Linked DNA regions of Astyanax mexicanus. The protein of the gene in region 1 interacts with the protein of each later gene in a pairwise test. Links are inferred from orthologs where the notes say so. Each region holds a gene or a part of one and is shown in the gene's direction. Other genes may lie near its edges.

What was found. The genes of interacting proteins can lie anywhere in the genome.
Region 2: the proteins of hoxa1a (region 1) and chic2 interact in binary tests that used the Homo sapiens proteins (3 or more experiments, as listed by UniProt). The two-hybrid records come from large-scale screens. The link is inferred for Astyanax mexicanus from reciprocal best matches to the Homo sapiens genes HOXA1 and CHIC2.
Region 3: the proteins of hoxa1a (region 1) and spry1 interact in binary tests that used the Homo sapiens proteins (3 or more experiments, as listed by UniProt). The two-hybrid records come from large-scale screens. The link is inferred for Astyanax mexicanus from reciprocal best matches to the Homo sapiens genes HOXA1 and SPRY1.

What each region holds. Positions count from the first base shown.
Region 1 is NC_064410.1:62,517,579-62,524,649, reverse strand, and holds the start of hoxa1a (homeobox protein Hox-A1a), read left to right. Parts: upstream 1-4,068; 5' UTR 4,069-5,033; coding exon 5,034-5,688; intron 5,689-6,548; coding exon 6,549-6,901; 3' UTR 6,902-7,071. Other genes in the region: homeobox protein Hox-A2a, read left to right, coding at 380-1,125. UniProt on the Homo sapiens protein: Sequence-specific transcription factor. Regulates multiple developmental processes including brainstem, inner and outer ear, abducens nerve and cardiovascular development and morphogenesis as well as cognition and behavior.
Region 2 is NC_064432.1:5,910,999-5,918,496, forward strand, and holds the start of chic2 (cysteine-rich hydrophobic domain-containing protein 2), read left to right. Parts: upstream 1-4,492; 5' UTR 4,493-4,687; coding exon 4,688-4,833; intron 4,834-6,154; coding exon 6,155-6,209; intron 6,210-7,241; coding exon 7,242-7,397; intron 7,398-7,498. Other genes in the region: OCIA domain-containing protein 1, read left to right, coding at 655-702, 1,043-1,157, 2,124-2,242, 2,745-2,782.
Region 3 is NC_064426.1:1,107,213-1,114,184, reverse strand, and holds the start of spry1 (protein sprouty homolog 1), read left to right. Parts: upstream 1-3,966; 5' UTR 3,967-4,623; intron 4,624-6,469; 5' UTR 6,470-6,524; coding exon 6,525-6,972. UniProt on the Homo sapiens protein: Inhibits fibroblast growth factor (FGF)-induced retinal lens fiber differentiation, probably by inhibiting FGF-mediated phosphorylation of ERK1/2. Inhibits TGFB-induced epithelial-to-mesenchymal transition in lens epithelial cells.

The sequences.
Region 1 (7,071 bases):
CATTTCCTGTCCTGACACTCTCCAACATCCTACAGTCGAGACTTTTTATTTATATACATATCTGACAGCAATGAAGAATGATGGATTACTGTTGTCCAGCGTGGGACTGCTCGTGCATTCATTAGATCCACTGTGAGTGGAGGGGAGCACGCGCCACATAGCTTAGCACTGCAATTTATGAGCTGCAAAGTCCTGCCAGATCCCTTGTTTTATACTCGTAATCTTGTTTTATGGGGATTGTGCAGAGTGCACCACGGTGACTTAGCCAACAACACTACGGCCACCTCCAGAGATAGGCCTGATTCTTGCGTGATTTTTATCTCTCGGCTACACTGCTGTTTTTCCTTTTCATATGTTCACTCTGTTCTATGTGCTCCAGGTTCACCCGAGCTTCCTACCGAGGTTGGTTTGGCGAGCGGTGGAGGAGAAGCAGGGGGAGGAGGAGGCTCTCGCCGGCTGAGGACTGCATACACAAACACGCAGCTTCTGGAGCTGGAGAAGGAGTTTCACTTCAACAAGTACTTGTGCCGGCCGCGCCGCGTGGAGATAGCAGCTTTACTGGACCTGACCGAGCGTCAAGTCAAGGTGTGGTTTCAGAACCGTCGTATGAAACACAAGCGGCAGACCCAGACCAAGGACGGTCAGGAAAAGCTGAGGAACACAGCGGCTGAGGAGGACAGTGGTGCGCAGAGCGATGAAGAGACCTCTGTGTTCGAGCCTAGCCTCGGTCAGGAGTCGAGGGCCCTCCCGGATAAAGATCTGCGTTCCTTTCAACCGGAGTCATCTTCAGTTTCTCAGCAGCTTCACAACTTCTCCATGTCGCCCCTCGGTCTTAACGACCTGGACACGTCTCCAGCCCACAAACACGTCTCCAGCCCCTCACCCACGCTATCGGGCCACAGACCGCCCTCCTCCAGCCCGGACAACTGCAGCTCCCCGCTGACTCTGGACGTGTCTCTGAAGGACTTCCACGGTTTCTCTGCGGATTCGTGCTTACATCTGTCCGACGCCGCTTCGCCGACACTGTCCGAGTGTCTGAGCACCCCAGAGCATCTATCCACGGATAACTTCTGCTTTTTCACGGACGCTTTAAGTACAATCGATCTGCAGCATCTGAACTATTGAGAACTGCGACACTGGAATGATGTGCTCTTCATCTAAAGGATATGTTGTTATCGCTTATTTGTCAGATGGGCACATCTTCCTGATAGGTTAACATTAAATGGTTAAAGGTAAGATTCTCTGTGCATAGAATGCTGTGTATCATAGACTGTATGCAGTAACGCACAAACGAACCAATGAATAGGTTTTAGCTAAAGATGGATTCGACTGTTTTTATTTTTGTAACAGATATTTTTGTTAGAATAAAAATGTGCTTGTTTATAAAAATGTGTCATAGTTACAATTTGGTAAAAAAAATGTAATACAGCTTTTTTAAATGCAAACTGCACAGATACACCACATTGTATTACACATCTTTGTCCATTAAAATAATAGCATTGCTAAAGTAGTAACAGTATTATGAAAATGCACTTCTCTTTCAAAATATTAATAAAGCCAGTGGTGGAAAAATTGAGAAAACACATTAAGATATTATTTACTGAACTGAACAAAAAAAAAAACCTGTAAACGGGCTAGATTGTTAGATTAATTGGTGATTTAAAAGTTGCAGCCTTGCTGGTCTACTGCTAAACAAACAAAACAGTTTGCAGACTTGAAATAAAATAATATAACTCAAAGAAACTAAATAAATAAAATCGCACGAAACATGTAATAAGAATATAATAAGAAAGGGAGAAATAAAATAGTTACTCTCATACTCTAACTTTAATAGATTTGATAAATATGCTTATAAACACATTAGTTTGGTTCTCTTGTCTGATAAGCACCGATAAGCACAGCCACTCCAAAAGAAGTAAGTACTCATGTTCTCGTGTAGCGCGTGCTAGGAGGTTTACAGTTACACCATCTATCAAATTTACAAACTTTCTTCCTCTATGCTGTAAAACCCCAACATGGCTGATTTTTTTTCTGGACCTGTGCTCTTTGTTTGGGGCTCTGCTCCAGGCTCCGCGTGGGGAAATGCCTGGGATGTTTCGTTCTCTGCCAACTCATAAATCAAAGTCTTTCATACACCCTGACAGCACGAGACAATGGTAGTGACGTCCGCGCAAATAAAAGCCCAGTCGCGTCTCCCTCTCTCTTATTTTGAGATTGTTTGAGACTGTTTTGGGGCGCAGAGAAAACCCTGCAGGGACGATCGGTAATAATTCATTTTTATTGCCGTTTTAACACCAGGCGTAAGGCCAGTGTACATAACCTCCGTAAGAGGCGTTTTTATAGCGCATGGACAAGTCATTCATTTCAACTCTGGAAGTGGAAGTGGGTTTTCTGGCCTTTACGGTGTTGTGTCATGACATTAGAAACATTAATGCTATTTAAGTACATTATACAACTATGGGTCAAGTTGTTGGGACATGTCTGTGTCCAATTATTGTTATACTATTATATTATTATGGCTAATTGTATGGCTAATTTTATTATCAATTAGTAGTAACATTTTATTATTAATTAGTCGTAGTAGTTGGGCAATGATTATTATTATTATTATTATTATTATTATTATTATTATTATTATATTTATTATTATTATTATTATTATTATTATTGTGCATTTTTGAGACCACTATGCTGATACTACTACCACCAAAAAATACAAATAAATGAATAATAATAATATTGAAACTGAGAAAAGAAAATTCTATTCTATGTGTTTAATTTTACATATTAGACATATCGTTTTTTTGTCTTAGCCAAGATATATATAAACGCTTAAACATATACAGTAAGTTATATAAATAATCCCACCGGAGCGTCGAAGGCCTATTAATTTTTTACACCAATATTTATAATATATGTGAATACAGGCATATATCCCTGTGTGAGTGTGAAATATTCATTCACCAAATCCTCTCTAACAAATCATGGGAAGAGTTTTTTTTCCCCGATCGTACACATACACATGTTCATGTCACTTCCAGCTTTCTTCAGCCTTTTCACAAAGAAGAACAAGCGTTTCTGCGTGGGAGAAATCTCTCTCTCTTTCTCCCTCTCTTTCTTCCTCTCTCTCTCCCTCTGGGTGGGGGTGGGAGGGGGCAGGATGTGAGAAGTTAGAGGAGGAGATGAGAAATCCTGCTCAACACTCAGCGCCATTTTGAATGAAGAAAAAAATACACGAAAAACAAAACAGGCGCTATTTCTCCTCCAGCCAGAGGGGGCGCTGACCCTCACTCCTTACACACTTTCTCACTTTCACTGCTTATCTGTGTTTTGTGTTTTGGCCATCCAAGAAACATTACAATAAACTAATAAACATATTAAGCAGGTATTTAACTCTTAATATTTGTGTGTGAATTATTTTAAATCCAACTACAAGGAAAACTTAAGGACTAGACAAGGCCATTCATTTCTTGGAAACACTTAAGGTCAAATTAGGATTAATATTGTTCTCCACCAGGGAACTGCAGTGCCTATTAATAACGCTGGAACTCTGGGGTTCATTAAATTAACTTTCACCCTTATCAAATTATCATAGGCAGGTAATGAAAATGCCACACTGCAGGCTGGCATAAACAAATAATAATTAGTTTATCATTTTCATGCTGTGCAGTATTAAAAATAAAGCTGCTACAATAGGCTGTTTGAGCTATGCCATAGAATAATCACATTTGTTTCCCTAAAGAACCCTTCAGTGGAGTGGAGGAATCTTTAGATTTTGTTAATATACAAGGGAGGATATTTAAATTATTGTGAATCTTTTATGTAAATGTCCTTGCAACTTTGAAAAAAAGTTGCTTTCACAGATTCTGTCATACAGTTAGTTTGACTCACCTCTATGTCTGTCATAGAGGAACTTTTTAATGTCTGCAAAAAAATATTTTAGAAAAATATTCTTCATGTTTCTATTACAAACAATGTTATCACTTTTTTAAAGTACCATTTTTAGCGCTTTCAAAATTAAAAGTGTTCATTGTTAGAACAGAATGTGGAAAGTAGCTAATGTGTTTATAGAAGCTAATCAGCAAATAAACACTTAAATTCTATGTGAAAAATCTTTGTAATGTTAAAATAACCTGCACATAAAGGTGATAGATCAATTCTTACAGTTCTTACCTAATATAATATTTTGTTATTTGTATTATTTATTGTTGTTTGTTTTAAAGGTTTAAAGAGCCTTGGCTGAAAGTAAAGCTTTTTTGCCAATCTTTTCAATGCTCTTCACACACACTCTACTCTTTTTTTTCAAGCAATGGTTATATATTTAAGACATGTTCTGCAGATCTACAGAGTGAATCAAATGTTTAGCATTTATCACGGATACAGCCATGCACTAATTAGAGAAGCTAAACTCTGGTCCGGTCTTGCATACGGCTTGCCGGCTCAAACACTATTGATTTTAGTCACTTGTCAGGTTAGGAAGGTGTGTTTAATTCCGGGAATGAACAAACCTTGCTTACATCCAGGGACCAGTAAAAACGCGTTTGTAAATATAGAAGTCAAACGATTTACGTTTTACCGCTATTTGTGTGGTCCTAGACTTTTGATTTCTGACCTTGCAAAATCACGTATTCCATTGGTCTCGAACTTGTCCTACCTGATGGTTCAAGTGTCGGATACTTCACACACGTTTCTCTCACGCCCATCGCTCCTCAGCATCCGTGCACCTTAGTTCCTCCACTCCTGCGCTCTGCTGTTCCATCAATTGTTCCTACGAGTAGGACCCAATCGGTGCGCTGACGTCATTGATCGACAAGAGGTCGGAATTTACATAAGCTTACTCTTTAACGACTATCTGTCAGCGCGAGGCCACTCAAGCTCAAGACCCAACAAAGCCACTGGTCACTGGCTGACCCGGCTCACGTGACTGTCAGTGTTCATTCATATCAGCCTCGCGCGGTACTCTCCAAACGCGCGCTGATTGAAGGTCTGGTGGTGTCAGACCGCCTAGAGAGTCCGGTCAGGAAGATGCCAGAATGAGCACGTTCCTAGATTACTCCGTGATGAGCGGCGGGGACGGAGGTGGCGGGGGCTCGTGCTCCGTTAGAGCTTTTCACACAGATCACGGAATTACAACTTTCCAGTCGTGCTCGGTCACGGTGAACAACTGCTCTGGAAACGAGCGGTTCTTGTCCGACAGGGCATCACCGGACACCGTATCCAGTCATCCGAATCAGGCTGGGTCCTACCAGTCCTCCGGGACCCTGTCAATCGCTTACGGTGCGCACCCGTCCTACGGGAGCCAAAGTTTTTGCGCCGGTTATAATCCCTACCCCCTGAACCAGGACGCTGATACGACTGGTGGGTTCGCTCAGTGCGGCCCCCTGGTCTACTCTGGAAACATTGTGCAGCACCACCACCACCATCCTCACCATCCTCATCATCCTCATCATCATCGCCATGGCTACAGCGGTAGCAACGCGCACCTACATCACGGGCAACTTCAGTACGCAGCCGCAGCCTACGGTCATGGTCAGGATCAGGCAAATCTGACCTTCGTGGGGGGATGCTCAAACCACCTATCTCCTCTGCATGGCCACCACGATACGTGCTGTTCACCTCTGTCAGACGGCTTGTCCACGGCGCAGACCTTTGACTGGATGAAGGTTAAGAGGAACCCCCCAAAAACAGGTACATAAAAACAGGTCTGGGGGGAAAGGGGTTCATCTTTTTAAAAAAGCTTTTCATTTAAAAGTTTAACTTTAACTTTAAACATTCGTTTTAGGATGGCTTAAGATGAAGTTGTAGAGTTCTTGATCAGGGGTCTTGCTGATTATAAGGCATTTGTATTGTCATTATAATAGAGGGGTTTTGGTTTGCATTATGTGTCTTTAAGCCATTCAATAATTAAAAAATATAAAATGATTTTGCTCAAAAAACTTTATTTTTAAACTACTGTAAAACAGTTTAATCAAGAACCTCATTCCTAACCATCTTGTTAAAAAAAAAAAAAAAAAACTTTGTGAAGCAGCTTTTTAGAGGCACTGAAGTTTTTAAGAGATATTTAGGTCCATTAATTGTTATTGCAAATATAACTCTTTTTTTTGCCTTACAGAGATTTATGTGTCCCTGAACAAAATAAAATATTTTAAAAAACATACCTCTCCAATCAAATGTTTATCTTTATACTGTCATAAAACTGTGTGTCAGATATCCTGCTCTTGAATATTAAATAATTGGTGTAATAATGTTTCTAAAAGTTCTGTGAGGAGCACTAAAGTCTTCAAATATCTAAGTTTTTTTTTTTACCTTTACTTTGAAACTGCTACATTTTTCTAAAATACAATTTGTCACAATAAGTCAGTCTAATTGGCTTTGCCTACATCTTAAATACTTATTTTGAAAGACTACTTTTGCAAATCAACACAACAACTTCTTACTTCTGCTTCATAAAAGACTGAAAACTCAATGCAGTAAATTAAAAATCTCATTTATACTCCAGTAATGTGTAAATTGTGTGTTTAATGACCTTCATTCTGTTTATTTCTCAGGTAAAGTAGGAGAGTACGGTTACGGTGGGCAGCCCAACACCGTTCGCACCAATTTTACCACAAAACAACTAACAGAGCTGGAGAAAGAGTTCCACTTCAACAAGTACTTAACCCGTGCCAGGCGTGTGGAGATAGCTGCCGCTCTCCAGCTGAACGAGACTCAGGTGAAGATTTGGTTTCAGAACCGTCGCATGAAGCAGAAGAAACGCGAAAAAGAGGGTCTGATGCCCAAGACTGTGTCTGAACCAGGAGATGGTCCAGAAAAGGCGGAGGATATGTCCGAAAAGTCTCTTTCTGCACCTTCAACTCCATCTCCTGCCTCCACATCTGCTGACCACTATTCTTCAGGCTAAAGGCCTCAATATTATTTTCTATTGATGGGAAAAAGATGATGATGATGATGTTGACAACCATGACTCTGGCCACAAACTTTGTAGCAGTTAGAGTGCGTCAACATAACTGGACATGCCCACCGGTATGAGCCGCGATAATGCACTATTTTTTTTAACTTTTGACCATTCAG
Region 2 (7,498 bases), on another chromosome or scaffold:
GCACTGATGGTCAAATTTAAATAATTTAATTAAGATATAAGTGTAATGCCATCTAGTGTTTTTTTTGGTAGCAGCAGTGTGCACTACTAAAACAGCAATGTGCAACATAACAAAATAAGTAATATAAAAAGACAGGAAATGTACAAAATAATAGAACAATTAGAGCTTTAACAAACTGAACTCTATCCTAGTTAAACATGAAATATAAGACTTTTTCGGTCCCTGAGAATGACAAGTATTTTTCTTTAATAAAGATATATTATTAACTTTATCTGAGAGAAAGATGATCCTTAAGGTACCAAAACTATTAACACATTTGAGGCTAGACAATATTTATATTTTCAAGTTTTTCTTTAAGAAGATGAGAATGTTCACATTCTCTGGAGACAGGGCTGCTCTTTGAGCAGTCACAATGTCCGCGGCGTCGGCTACAGTGTGCTGCGCCATTTGTGTAGCTTAGAGGGAGGGATCGTCGATTATCTTTTTGACTTTGAGGCTCGAGACCATGACATAATTTTGATCAATTTCTATGAAATATCGAAATCGTGACACCCCTACTGATTACTGTTCTCTACTGATCACTACCGATGTCGTAGTGAACATACAATGGGTATACATCACTGCAAATGTAAATCTGGCTTGTGTTTCTGATAGGATCCCGGTTTGCATCCTCACGAGTTGGATTAGTGCCAGAAATAATGCGTGAGTATTATCTCCTCTGAAGTTGATTACATTGTGACATCTTACATACATTAGCTGCAATAGTAAATATCTCAGATCAGCCATATTAGTTATTATACAGCTCTGGAAATAAATAAGAGACCACCTAAAAATGTTGAGTTTCTTTAATTGTACCAACTTGAAAACCTCTGGAATATAATCAAGAAGTAGATGGATGATCACAACTGCTTGAGATTTTGCACCAGGAATGACAGGAGTGAAGTTTTTTAATTGTTTAACACCACTACTTTTTAGTTCTTAGGTGTATAAACTGTACAATAATTTTATGCTGTGTGTGTGTGTGTGTGTGTGTGTGTGTCAGTTTTTGGTGCAGTGAGCTACATTGTGGGACAGTACTCCTACTTGAATGCCTGTAAGGAGAAGTTTATGAATTTGAGGGATTCACCGATTGGAAAATCTTTAAGGCAGCCGCATACGTGAGTACACACACACACACACACACACACACACACACACACAGCATAACATTATTGTACAGTTTATGCATCTTAGAAGAACTCAAAAAAGTAGTGGTGTCAATTGATTAAAAAAACTTCAGATTAATCACAACACTATTCTGTTATTAACTGAGATTAATCACTCTTGTTCTTTTAAAGACGCGAGTTTTTAGCGTTTTTATAGCCAATAAAAAAAATAGTGTTTACTTGTACAGTTCTATTAAAAAATAAGAGACTGCTTAAAATGTATGTTTTTTTATTTTTTTTATTTTACATAATTGAAAATCTCTGGAATATAATCAAAGGAAGATAGATTTTCACAAGCCAACAAACCAAGCTGAACGAACTGCTTGAATTTTTGCACCAGGAGTGCAGGTATAAAGTTATTCAAAAGCAGTGTGTAAGACTGGTGGAGAAGGAGAACATGATGCCAAGATGCATGATTAAAAACTGTCATTAAAAACCAACCAGGGTTATTCCACCAAATATTGATTTCTCATTTTCTGTAAATAAATGCTCTAAATGACAAGATTTGGAATTTGGAAGAAATGTTGTCCGTAGTTTATAGAATAAAACAATAATGTTCATTTTACTCAAACATAAACCTATAAATACCAAAACACAGATAAATGATGCGAAAATAAGACGAGCGCTCATGCTAAAACAACAAAATTGAGCGAGAGAGAGAAATGTTTCTAAATTACGCACCCTCGTTACAATTCCTAGAAAGTGACTGATTGCGGCGGAAGTTGGGGTCAAACTTAATTAATTAATTTGCATTAAAACAAATTATGCATTACTGCGTGCGTCCAACATGTCTAACAGAGATCCTAGCTCTTCACATGCAGCACTGTTACCACAATATCATCAGCATTCATCATAATGTTTTGGCTCATTAATGTAAAAAAATGTACTAACGTAAATAATGTGTGTGTGTGTGTTCAGCTTTTTACTTAGTCAGTCGGTGCTGAATAAGAATGAGCCCCAGCCTGAGAGTGTGTTCCAGTCCAACACTCGGACAAAAAGCCAGAATACACAATCCTCAGACCGCCCTCCCTCAAAGGGTAATCTCACACACACACACACAAGGCAAATATACTAGGGGTGTCACGATTCTCTAAATCCTCGATTCGATTTTATTTCCGGGTTTTATTTTAGGGTCACGATTCGATTCGATTCTCGATTTTCTTTTTTCTTTTTTTTTTACAGCAGAGAGGCCTATGCCACTTTTAGATTAGTCTATGGTCAGTCATTGGTTTGATTCATCAAATTTACAATATCTTATTTCAAAAAGTTGGGCTTGATATAAGTGATGCAAAGTGATACAAGTGATCTGTAATACACCACATTAGGCACTAATGGTCAAATTTAAATAATTTAATTAAGATATATATGTAATGCCATCTAGTGAAAATCGTGACACCCCATCGTGACACGATTTGCTTTCTAAAATTTGAACATTTTTGCTCATCTGAGACAAAAACACATATTAGCACTGAAGCTATGAGGCTAATTTCCTTAGTACTCAGAACTTATGGGTTCGATTTCTGCTCTTTTTCTCTGCAGTGAAGAAGAACAAGTATGGAGATTCATGGGAGGAGTGAACAGAGATCTACAGTCAGTACAGAGTGTTAATGCTGTTACTGAACGACAAAAGTATCGGGACATGTTCTAATTTCTTGCTTCTGTTTAAATCAAGGCTTTTAAAAAGAGTTCATCCTGATCTTGCTTTTGATAAAGCAACTGTCTCTACTGTCCAGAAATCCCAAGGCTTTCTACTACATTTTGAAGTGTCACTGTTATGTCCTGGATGTATCACCAAGGAATACACAAGCTGTGTGTGCATTTACACATCTATATTAGCAATGGGTGCAACTTTTAAGTAGCTGAAGGAATTCATTGGAAGGGGGTTGGATTTTGAGTGTGTGTGTGTAGCCTTTTTTGGATCTGTGTTTCTGAGTTCAAAATAAAAGTTGGTTAAATGCTTCATGTGTTTCATTTTTTGGTTATTTTTTAATCATTAAATATGAGTTAACTGTGATTTATCACACTTTTTTTTTTTATCACAAAGCTGCGTTCAATTTCACTACTAACCACAACCAGACCTGATTATTATCAGACCTGTAGAATCAAGAAATCACTTAAATAGAACCTGTCTGACAACATGAAGCAGATAAAATATTTCAAAGTCATTGATCATCTATCAGTCTGAAAAAAGGTTACAAAGTCATTTCTAAAGCTTTGGGATTTCAGCATATCACAGTGAGAGCTATTATTCACAAATAGAAAAAAATGGTGAAATTTCCCAGGAGTGACTGGCCTACTGACATTATTCCAAAAGGGCATGGACAACTCATCCAGGAGGTCACAAAAGAACCCAGAACAATATTTAAAGTACTGCAGCTCTCACTTGCCTTAGTTAAGGTCAGTGTTAATGATTCAATAATACGATTGTAGACTAAATTTATAATAATTGCATTGAATTTAACATCTCTTATGTGTAAATCAATAAAACTCACCTAAACTAACATGAATAAATGTTCAGCAGTGGCTTTTCTTGTCCAGCAGGCGCACTAAGAATTTGCCCTATATAACAAAGGTCTCATAATGAACTTTTTTCAGATTTCTTTAATAGGTTGTCATAATGTTTTTTTTTTTTCATTCTAACAATTATTTAAATTTTTAGTCTGCAAGGCTAAGCACGTTTCATTGATTACAGCATTTTATCTTTACTGTTAGAACAGTCGGACTGTGTTTTGGTGCTTCAGCTGATAATTATTATTATTATATATATAATATATATATATATATATATATTATATATTATATATAATTATATATTATATATAATAATAATTATTATTATTATTATATTTTTTACACGGTTGTAAAACATATCTCACTCAAGCAAAAAAAATTTATTGAGCTCAAATTGTATAATGCACTCAACATAATTATCATGAAAAACGCGTGAAAAAATAGTAAAAAAAAAAACATTTTAATTAAAAATATTAATTTAAATAAATAAATAAAAGCATATTTTGAGGAAAAACACGTGAAAACAGTAAATATATATTTAAATTATATACATTTATTTATATAAATTTAATATAATAAATAAAATAAATTTAAAAAATTAAACACAGTAAACAAAATAGTACTAAAACACGTGAAAATAATTTTAAAAATAATAATACTAATAAAAAATGAGAACCAACGCATGCGCAGAGCCTCTAAGTAGCACGTTTCGACGGGTAGCGCAACTCGATAGGACACCGGCTCTGACGTCCCACTCCCGGGCGGAAGTCTCGCGATAAGCGGCGGGATCTGAGGCGGATGTTGATGTTGTTGTGGCTGGGCTCGCGGCGGCGGCGGCGGTGATAATAATAAGAGCGATACCGGAGGAGTTTTAGGCTGATTTTAGTTAATAAAGCGGCGGGAGGAGGCGGTGAGCGGGCTCTGGAGCTCCCCCGGCCCCCGATCTCCGCTCCCCCGGGGCCGAGGCGGCGATGATGGAGGACTTTGATGAGATCTACGAGGAGGAGGAAGAAGAAGAGGAGGAAGAGGAGGAGGACGAGCAGCGGGCCGCGGAGGAGCAGCTTCTCAAATACGCCCCGGAGCCGGTCCTGGTCCGGGGATCGGGCCGGGTCACCGTGTAAGACCCCCATTAAACCGATCAAACAGCCCCCCTGAGACCTCCGCGTCCCGGCCGATCTGCCCTACTGACCCAGCAGGCCGAGCGGTGGAGGATCTGACCAGCCTAGTGCAGCTCCAGTGCACTAAAATGAGTTTTAAACTGATTTAATAAAGCTTTAGAAACTTAACCCAGTCCATTCACCACCTCTCTGACCCAATGAACCTATTGAGAATAGCTGGAAGATCAGAGTGAGGGTTCTAAAGTAGGAAGCCACTTGGTAAAGGCGTTCCAGAGCTTAGTTTTATCTTCTAAAATTGATTTTAAAGCTGTTCTTGTTGTTTTATGGCTTTCGAAACAGAATCCAGTCCACTGACTATTTGAAGATCACAGTGATTGTTCTGAAGTAGGAATCCAGTTGATGTAGAATCTCCTAACCTTGTTTTTTTCTTCTAGGATTGATTTTAAAGCTGTTCTGGTCGTTTTATGGTTACATTTAGTGGAGGATTGCTTGAATTATTTTTTTTCTTTTAAAATTGATTTTAAAGCTGTTCGATTTCTTTTACGGCTGTTGGAACTTAATCCATGACTAATTGAACCGATGAATGGTAGGAAGATCACAGTTTTATCCTCTAGAATTTATTTTAAAGCTGTTCTTGATGTTTTATGGCTCTCAAAATGTAATCCAGTCCCCTGACCGCCTTAGTGACTAACTAAACCATTTAAAAATGGCAGGAAGAACACAACAATCTTTAAATCAAATCAAATGGACAAGTTTCTGGAAACTTGTATCCCAAAAAAATGTCACTGGAGTTTCTAGAATTGATTTTAAAGCTGTTTTTGTCGTTCTATGGCAGTCAAAATGTAACCGAGTCCTCTGATTGCCTCACAGACTAATTGAACCCACTGAGAACGGCAGGTAGATCACAGTGAAGGTTCTGAAGTAGCTAGCCAGTGGATGGAGCATCTCCCAAGTTTGTTTTTTTCTTCTAGAATTGATTTTAAAGCTCTTCTGTTCACTGTATGGCTGTTGAAACATAATCTGGTCTTCTGGCTACTTTATTGACCAATTGAACCCATTGAGAATGACAGGAGCTTAGTAGTAAGTAGCAAGCCAGTTGGTGGAGAGGAAACCAATGGCCAATACCCTAAACTTACATCATTGGCCTAACTTACTGTCTTGATCTAGGTCACTTTCATTATTGCAGGTAAAGGTGGTGGGGTGAATCTAAAGCTGAGGTTTTAAGACTCCAACACTGTGATAAAAAAACTATTAAGTGTATGAGAACAATAGAAACCCAGGCAAAAATTAATACTGAGTTTTGTTTTTAATCACCCTCAGGTTTGGACTCAGCAATAAATTTGAGTCAGAATTTCCTTCAGCACTTACGGGAAAGGTGAGTGTATCTTCGGTCACGTTTACTCCTGTTAGTCACTGCTCTTCTTGAAGTGATTGTTCAACAAATCAATTAGGCACAGCTTCTGTACCTACAAATGCAGCTACCAAACAATGAGTTTTGAGGCTAATGCAGCTAACAAGCAATGGAAGCTTTTACCTCGACCGAAACATGCATTGTGTGTACAGTGTTTAACCATCACTGTAACTTAAAAAAATACTTTTTAAAGCACATTCGAAATGTATTAAAATTAAATAAAATCTATATTCATAGTTTGTAGCTTTTTGGCTCAATAATGCACAAAATGTGTGATTTATTTGGCCTGTTCTGGCTACTGTGCCTGCTCTGATCTCCACATCATAGGGCGTGTTTGCTTACTACTCCACTCACAGCGTAAAAATCATAGTTGTGGAACTGTAGATAGATGCCATGTTGAGCATTGTCAACTAGGGGTGTGCCATATTGAATAATACACAGTAGTATTGCGGAAAAATGACACAATAAAAACACTACTTTTAATTGTTTGGTTGCAGTTTAAATACATGCACTAAATATGATGCACTTTAGTTTTTTGTAGGTTTTGTGTTGTTACATTACTTTTTTCATTTATTCACCTTTGTTTTGTTACAGTAATATTATTTTCTACATAATAAGAGTCTTGGTAAGTTTAGGAAATGGATGTTTAGATGTTTATATATTTTTTTTATAGTTATTTATACTCAATAAAACTTTTTCTCTTTATTCTTGAAATTAGATTTTTTTTTTTTTTAAACAAAGTATATCGATGTTGCAAAAGTACCCTGAAATTTTGCGATATTGAATTCGGGTCATATTGCCCACCCCTAGTGTGAACTCCTATTGCTTGTTTGCTACATTAGCCTTGTAGCTTTGGTGTAAAACTACAGAAACGCACTTCTGGCACCAAATTTGTCGATATTTTAATAGTAATTTTAACAGTTTTACAAACTGCTTTAAAATACAAAAAAAAAAAAAAACTGTTTCTGATTGGTTGAGCTCTGTATTTATACGCAGGTAGCACCTGAGGAGTTCAAAGCCAGCATAAACCGAGTGAACGGCTGCCTGCGGAAGACGTTGCCGGTGAACGTGCGGTGGTTGCTGTGCGGCTGTCTATGCTGCTGCTGTACCCTGGGCTTCAGCCTGTGGCCGGTTATCTGCCTCAGCAAACGGGTGAGTGACCACCAGTGAAAGGTAGAAGGTAGCTTTCATTTTCCAGCAGGACTTGGCGCAGTGCCCACACTGCCAAAAGTACCAATTGGTCTTATATATTA
Region 3 (6,972 bases), on another chromosome or scaffold:
GTGCAGAGTTGGTTCTGTGGTGTAAAAATAGTTACCTGTAATTACTGGAAATATTTTAGCACACAGGTGGGTGTGTAATCTTTAAAAAAAACTGAAGGCTGTGCTAATTTGTGGTCGGGGCATGGTGCCATGCCACTGCATCTGCGTTCTGATCAGTGGAATAAGACGGCGTGTTCCGCTGAGCTGCAGGCCTGCAGGTCTCTGTGATTAGTCATGTGGCTGACATATTTACCCACAGCAAACTATACAGCATTATTGGTCAAATTATGAAAAGCATTCATGAAATATTTCAGGGTGATTACGCTCATCCAGGACTCTTATTCTGCCTGGAGTTTTGCTTGAGAGCGTAAACAGGTAACAGGTGGAATCTTTATGGGTGTCCAGTGTAGATAAAGGATCGTTCTTCAGTGTCCAAATAAAACCAGAGTCCAAAAATGTTCCTTAAAACTGATCCCAGAGTGGGTTAACATTTTTCAGGGATTAAAAAGCCATATGTTTTGACATTATTGGGACCAAATGTTCTTAAATATGATTGTAGAGACTAAATATCCCTAGATTTTGACATTGTAAGGACTGAATATTTCTAAACTTGACCTTGTAGGGGAATAAATATTCATAAATTTTGATCAGGATTGATGACAATTCCTACATTTTGAAATTTTGGAGACTAACTATCCCTAACTTTAATACAGGCATAATTTGACATTTTGGGGACTAATATTCGAACTTTCTTTTTTACTGTGGTACCGAATATACCTACATTTTAATGTTGTGTGGACTGAATATACCTAAATCTGACTTTGTGGTGATTTAATATTCCTGTATGACATTGTAGGTACTAAAAATCCCTGATTTCAACATTGTGGGGACTGAATATACCTAAACTGAATATTATGAGGACTGGGTATTCTTACATTTCGACACTGTGGGGACTGAATGTGTCTAAACTTAACATTGTGGGGACTGAATATCCTCAGATTTTACAATGTGGGGATCAGATATTTCTACATTCAGCACTGTGGGGGCTAATATTCCATTCCTATAAAGTTGACATTATATGTAATGTATTTAATATGATTATATAAATAAGGATTGCTGCCAACATCTTTTAAAAACACATCATAAAAGATTTTGAACAAATTATAAATATTGATAAATGTTTTGTTCTGTTTTGATTTGTAATTTTTTCTGTATTTTGAGTATTTACTCTTACTGTAAGTATTATTATGTATAAAGATCGTATAATATCTAAGATCCACGAATGATAAATAAATACTCTCTCTCTCTCTGTCTCTCTCTGTCTCTCTCTCTGTCTCTCTCTCTGTTTATCAGATAACTGCAGTGTGTCGTGAAGCTGCACTCTTCGCCCTTCAGGAGGACATTAAAGCCGAGCACATCACCGACCGGCACTTTGACTCCGCCCTGTCTGCTATTAAACCACGAGTCCCAGAATCCCTCATTCAGACCTACATCTCCTACCAGCAGCAGCATCACGGCACCCGGCCCTTCTGCTGACGGGGGGGCCGAGGGGGCCAGCGCCCCCCAGTATAAAGACTCTTCTACCCCCTGTAGGATCTGAACTGATTAACTGATAATAAATGGAGCTTCTTTATTGTCTGTGTTGGTCTGTACCAGCGTCCCACGTCAGCAGATTAAATAAACACCCCCCCCCCCCCCCCTCCTCCTCCCGTCCTGTGCTGTTGTTAAATTGTTTACTCGGAGGAAATGGATCTTGGACCTGCAGAACTCATCCGGCCTCCGATGAATTACGGGCTCCATAAAAAGTTTTATTTGATCACAAATTGGGAGTTTTATAGCCGTGCACTTTTCAGCTTTATTAATTTATTGCCGGCTCTGATCCTGAGAGACACACAAAGCAGAACTTCTCCTCAGAGCATAAATATACAGCTGATTAAAAACAAACACTGTAAAACTAAAACTGAAAAAAGAGCAAAAAAAAAGCTTAAAATAAAAGTATCAGCTAGTGCAATTAGCATAGCATGTGCTGTAATGACAGATTAAACATACAGATATATGTATAATGTATATATATATTTGTCTATATACAGTATAGACAGGACCACCTGGATATATCCAATTTAAGAGAATAGGTAAGAGACTAGTAAGTGAAAGACTATTGGTGTATATAACAACAGGGGTATATGTAGTAGAGGTTTATATAACAGTAGGATTATATATAAAAGTAGAGTTTTATATGACAATAGTTGTATATATAAGAGTATTGGTGTATATAACAATAGAGGTGTATATAACACTAGGGGTATATAAGAATATTGGTGTATATATAACAGTAGGGGTGTATATATAAAAGTAGAAGAGTATATAACAGTAGGTGCATATATATATATATCAGTAGATGTATATATGAGTACTGCTATTTATATAATAGGAGTATATAACAGTAGGTGTATGTCTAAAAGTAGACGTTTATATAAAAGTATATAACAGTAGAGGTGTATATATATAAGTATTTGGTGTATATACAGTAGGGAAATATATAACAGTAGGTGAGTATATACCAGTAGAGGTGTATATACAGTAGGTGTATATATATAAAGGTAGAGGTGTATATCTATATATAACTGCAGGCCTGTACTGGTGGCCCCTCCCCCTCCTGACTCTGTGCTGAACTTCCCCTTTTTCAGCAGGAGCCGGATGTGGCGCATCCGCGCGGTCAGATTGTGGGGCACGGGGGCTCCTCGCGCTTCTTAAGGTGGAGCCGCGCGTGCATGTTTACAATGGGTTTAACCCCCCCTTAACACACATACACACACACACAGCTCACAGCTCGCCTGCAGGATTAACCCCGCGTCCTGATTAGAAACTATCAGAAGAAGTATTGATCAGTGCTGATCAGACAGACTGTATAATTGATTAGTCTAGATAATAGAGATCAGTATTGATCAGTAACGATAGTTCAGTAGTGTCTATAAACTGAATGTAGACGCTGATATTAATCCGTATTGATCAGTGGTGCAGAAGTACACTAGTTATTACTGACATAAACTTATCAGTAGTAGTAATAGAGATCAGTATTGATCAGTAGTAAATATGCATGCTAAAGTGAATGAATAGTGATAAAAAAGATTAGTATTAATCTGAATGGATTCGTTATGATAATATCAGTTATGATCTACAGTTAGTGTTATCAGTACTGATTGTTAGAATTGCCTGTATTTAATAAAAGACACTGGCTATAATTAGTGTTAAAATTCTGACATTTAATCAGCATTCATTAGTTTAAACTAGTTTAAATAGTGGTTGGAGTTCTTCTACACTCACATTAATGCTTTTGGGTAAAAGGTGATTCTCTTAAATACTAAAAATAATGATAATAATAGTAATTAAGTAGGTAAGTATTATATTTATAAGACATTACTATTATTTAATTGTCTAATTCTGCACTGCAGTAACACAGTACTATAATCTATAAGAAACAAGATGTATATTTAATTAAAAAGTGCAGTTAATTATAAAAAGTACATATAAAACCATAGAGTAAAATCAATGTTGAATCAATTTGCACAAATACATCAGTTCTGATGGCAGAGATCAGCATTATGGATGTAAAAATTAACGTTTATTTCAATTTAGTTTAGTTTATTTCGGTTTAACAAAGTTACACACTTATATGCAAAGTGACAATAATAACAGTAATGATATAAAAATAAAAATATTAAGTGCACACCTTGTGAAGCTTTTGCATACATTAATTCAACATAGTTTCCTATGTAGGGCTGATTAATACTGATCAGTATTGATGAACAGTTTGTTAATCAGTGGTTTGATCAGTGATCTGCAGGGTGTAAAAGATCAGCCGCTCCGCTGCACGTTATTAACGCCGGTCCACCTTAAACCCCGCCCCGCCTCGCCCCGCCCGCAGCCCGTGGCCAATCGGCGCGGAGCGGATGCGCCGTGTCCGGTTTCAGAGCGCGAGGCGGAGCTGCGCTCCCATTCATTACCGCGGAGCGGAGAGAGCGCGAGCGATCTTTCACGCGCGCAGGAGAAGAGAAAACAGCGAAAACGCGAAAACACCAAAACACGAAGCGTAGCTACGAAAAAAAAGTTACCGTGCGAAACGGACGGACTACAACCCGCAGTACCCGGATTTACGCGTGACGTTCAGCTGCGAGGCTCATACGGAGCGCGAGAGGACATACGAGGGATTTCTGTTGTATTTTTTTTGGTTTTATTAATTCATTTTTACATTTTTTTTATTTTTTAACGTCTGCGCGCTCGTGCTTGGACTAAAACTGGGATTTCCTTGCGGCTGTGCAGCGCGTGCTAAAGGACACTATCACTGCAATTATTATTGTTGTTGTTATTTTTATTAATATTTATTTTAACGATAATATTTGCGAATATATCTATATATACATATTTTTGAACGCTACTATCATCAGTTTTCCTGGATTTAACGTCATTTCCCTGGATCACACCGAAAAGACTGGACTTGGAGTACCGCGAGCCCCTGTTTTTGTATATGGATGTATAGTGTCCAGACACACAGCGCGCGCGCCGTGAGATTTCCTGCGTGATTCTGGGAGACGCACGCGAGCCGCACTGGCTGATGGCGTCAGAGCTGCGGAGGAGCGCGTGTAGGTGCGTAGCTGCTGCTCGTGCTTCACTATTTTAACTACTAACTAAGTAACTAGCTAACTAACACGTCCCTTGTAGGGTCTTTTTTAGACCGTGCGTGCGCGTGCATGCACGCGCGTGCCCTGTTTACGCATTTCTAGGGAGGAAAGAGAGAAGGGGAAGGGGGGGTTTGTTACTGGGTTGCTTCAGTTGCTGTAGTTGCACCGAAAAAATAATAAAAGGCGCAACGCAACAACGTCTGTGCGCAAACTGAATCTGAATCTCAGCTCACAGACGCTCGTGCGTGCGTAGCCTCGAGCTTGCAATGCACAATGCATGTGCACTCGAATACACACTATACTATACTCCCTCCCGTCGCTGCTTATAACGCAGAACTGTCCGAAAACAAGGGAAAAATGTTTTTAGCAATTCGTTATTCGTTAAAAGTAGTGTGCACTAGAAAGAGTAACGTTAGTGTGTATTCTGTGTAGTGCACATGCATGCACGCGATCTCGAGGGCTCGAGGCTAGGTTGACTAGAGCCTACAGAGTTCTGTTACCCCCCCTCTACTACCCCTCCTCGCGCGGTAACTACCAAATACCCACCCCTCCCCCCACAGGGCTTGTTTTCATTCATAAGTTACCCCCCCTCCTCCCCTCGCTTCCTCTTGGACTCGTCCTCGACCTGCAGTGGCGGGGGGGGGGGGGGGGGGGTGCGTAAGTTAAGTTTTAAGTTTTGCGTAAGTTAAGTTGCATTGTGTGTGTTTTTTTCTTTCATTTGCGCTTTTTAAAAGGTGCAAAAATTGTGCGAAGTGTTAATTCTGGATATGGAGAGAAGTGTTTTGGCTTGTTTAAGCATGTTTTTTTAGTTTAGTGCTTTGAAGTTTTGCTTTAACTAAATATCTATTGGCAAAAACGTGATAAATAATAGTCTTTTGTTGTAAAATAGAGTTACTAATGTGTTATTAATGTGCATGAACAGCCTGCTGCTGAAGATTGTATATATTGGTATATATTGCGCTTCCCAACATAGCTGACAATGTGTAAATTACTTTTATTATCAATGTAATATATTTAGGGAAAAGCCATAGTCTGAGCAAAAAAGTTAGTCAAAGTCAGCAAGACAATAATATAAGAGGATTTTATTTATTTTAGAGTTTAGTCCAGTTTGTCCCATGGATTAACCCAGTTTGCTTTAGTTTGCTTCTAATCAGATTTGCAGAAGTGTCTATTAATGTACAAAATATTCTCAGTTTATCAAAAAAATGTTTATCAAAGTAGGTGGATTTATCCCATGTTGATCTTTAAATCTCCAAACAGCAACGGTTTTTACAGCCAGAAAAAGTTTCTTATAATTCGATTTGTTTTCATTGATGTAAAAATCAGTGGCAGATTTACATAGCCTAAATAAAATGCAGAATGTCAAATATGGAGATACGGGGGTTTTGCATGACAGTAGAGACACAAAGGTATAGAAGGTATAGAAGAGGTTAAGCTGGTGAATAGGTGCGAGTCGGGAATCGAGAAGTGTGAACGACTGTAGGAAACCATCCATTTGATTCACACCTGAAGAGTCTAACACCTAATGGCTCAGAGGCTTAATCTTAGTCTCTCAGACGGTCACAGTCTTTCATAGACTTTGATCAATCTAGAGCTGTGAAATTCTGCTGTTAACTTACATCTTATTGTTCTGTAATTTAATGTAACATTAAATCAATTAATTCTTTAAGGTCATAAACCAGTGTTGATTTTCTTAAACTGTATAGACTTTTCAGCTTTTCTGCTTTTTTTTATAAACTTTGGAACTTTGGAGCTTTTGTACTCATCTCTCTCCCTTTTTCTTTCTTTCTCTCCCTCTCTTTTCCCGACAGGTCGTCCGATGAGACTAGAGTCCGTGCTTGCGCAGGGAGTCGCTGATCAGGTCAGATGGATCGTCGCGGTCACCGCGGAGTCGCCGGATCAGTGGCGGTGATCCGGGAGCCGCCGGCGCCCGGGGAACGTCTGGACCTGGACCTTCCAGCCGGGGCCATCCTCTCCTTGGAGCAGATCCGAGCCATCCGCTCGTCTAACGAGTACACAGAGGGTCCCGCAGTGGCGGCACGCCGGCCTCCCGCCCCGGCACCCCGTGTCAGTGACAAACACGAGAGGACTCACGAGGTTATCCTCGTCAATGTGAACAACAACTACGAGGCGCGGCCCGTAGCCACCAGGCCGCCCACCCTTAGCCGCTCCACCAGCATGGGTAGCGCTGGGAGTTCCGGCAGTAGCGGAAGTGCGTCTTCGGAGCAGGGCTTGCTGGCACAGTCTCCGCAATCGCGCCACCACCAACACCATCATCACCTTCACCATCATCACCACCACCACCATCAACAAC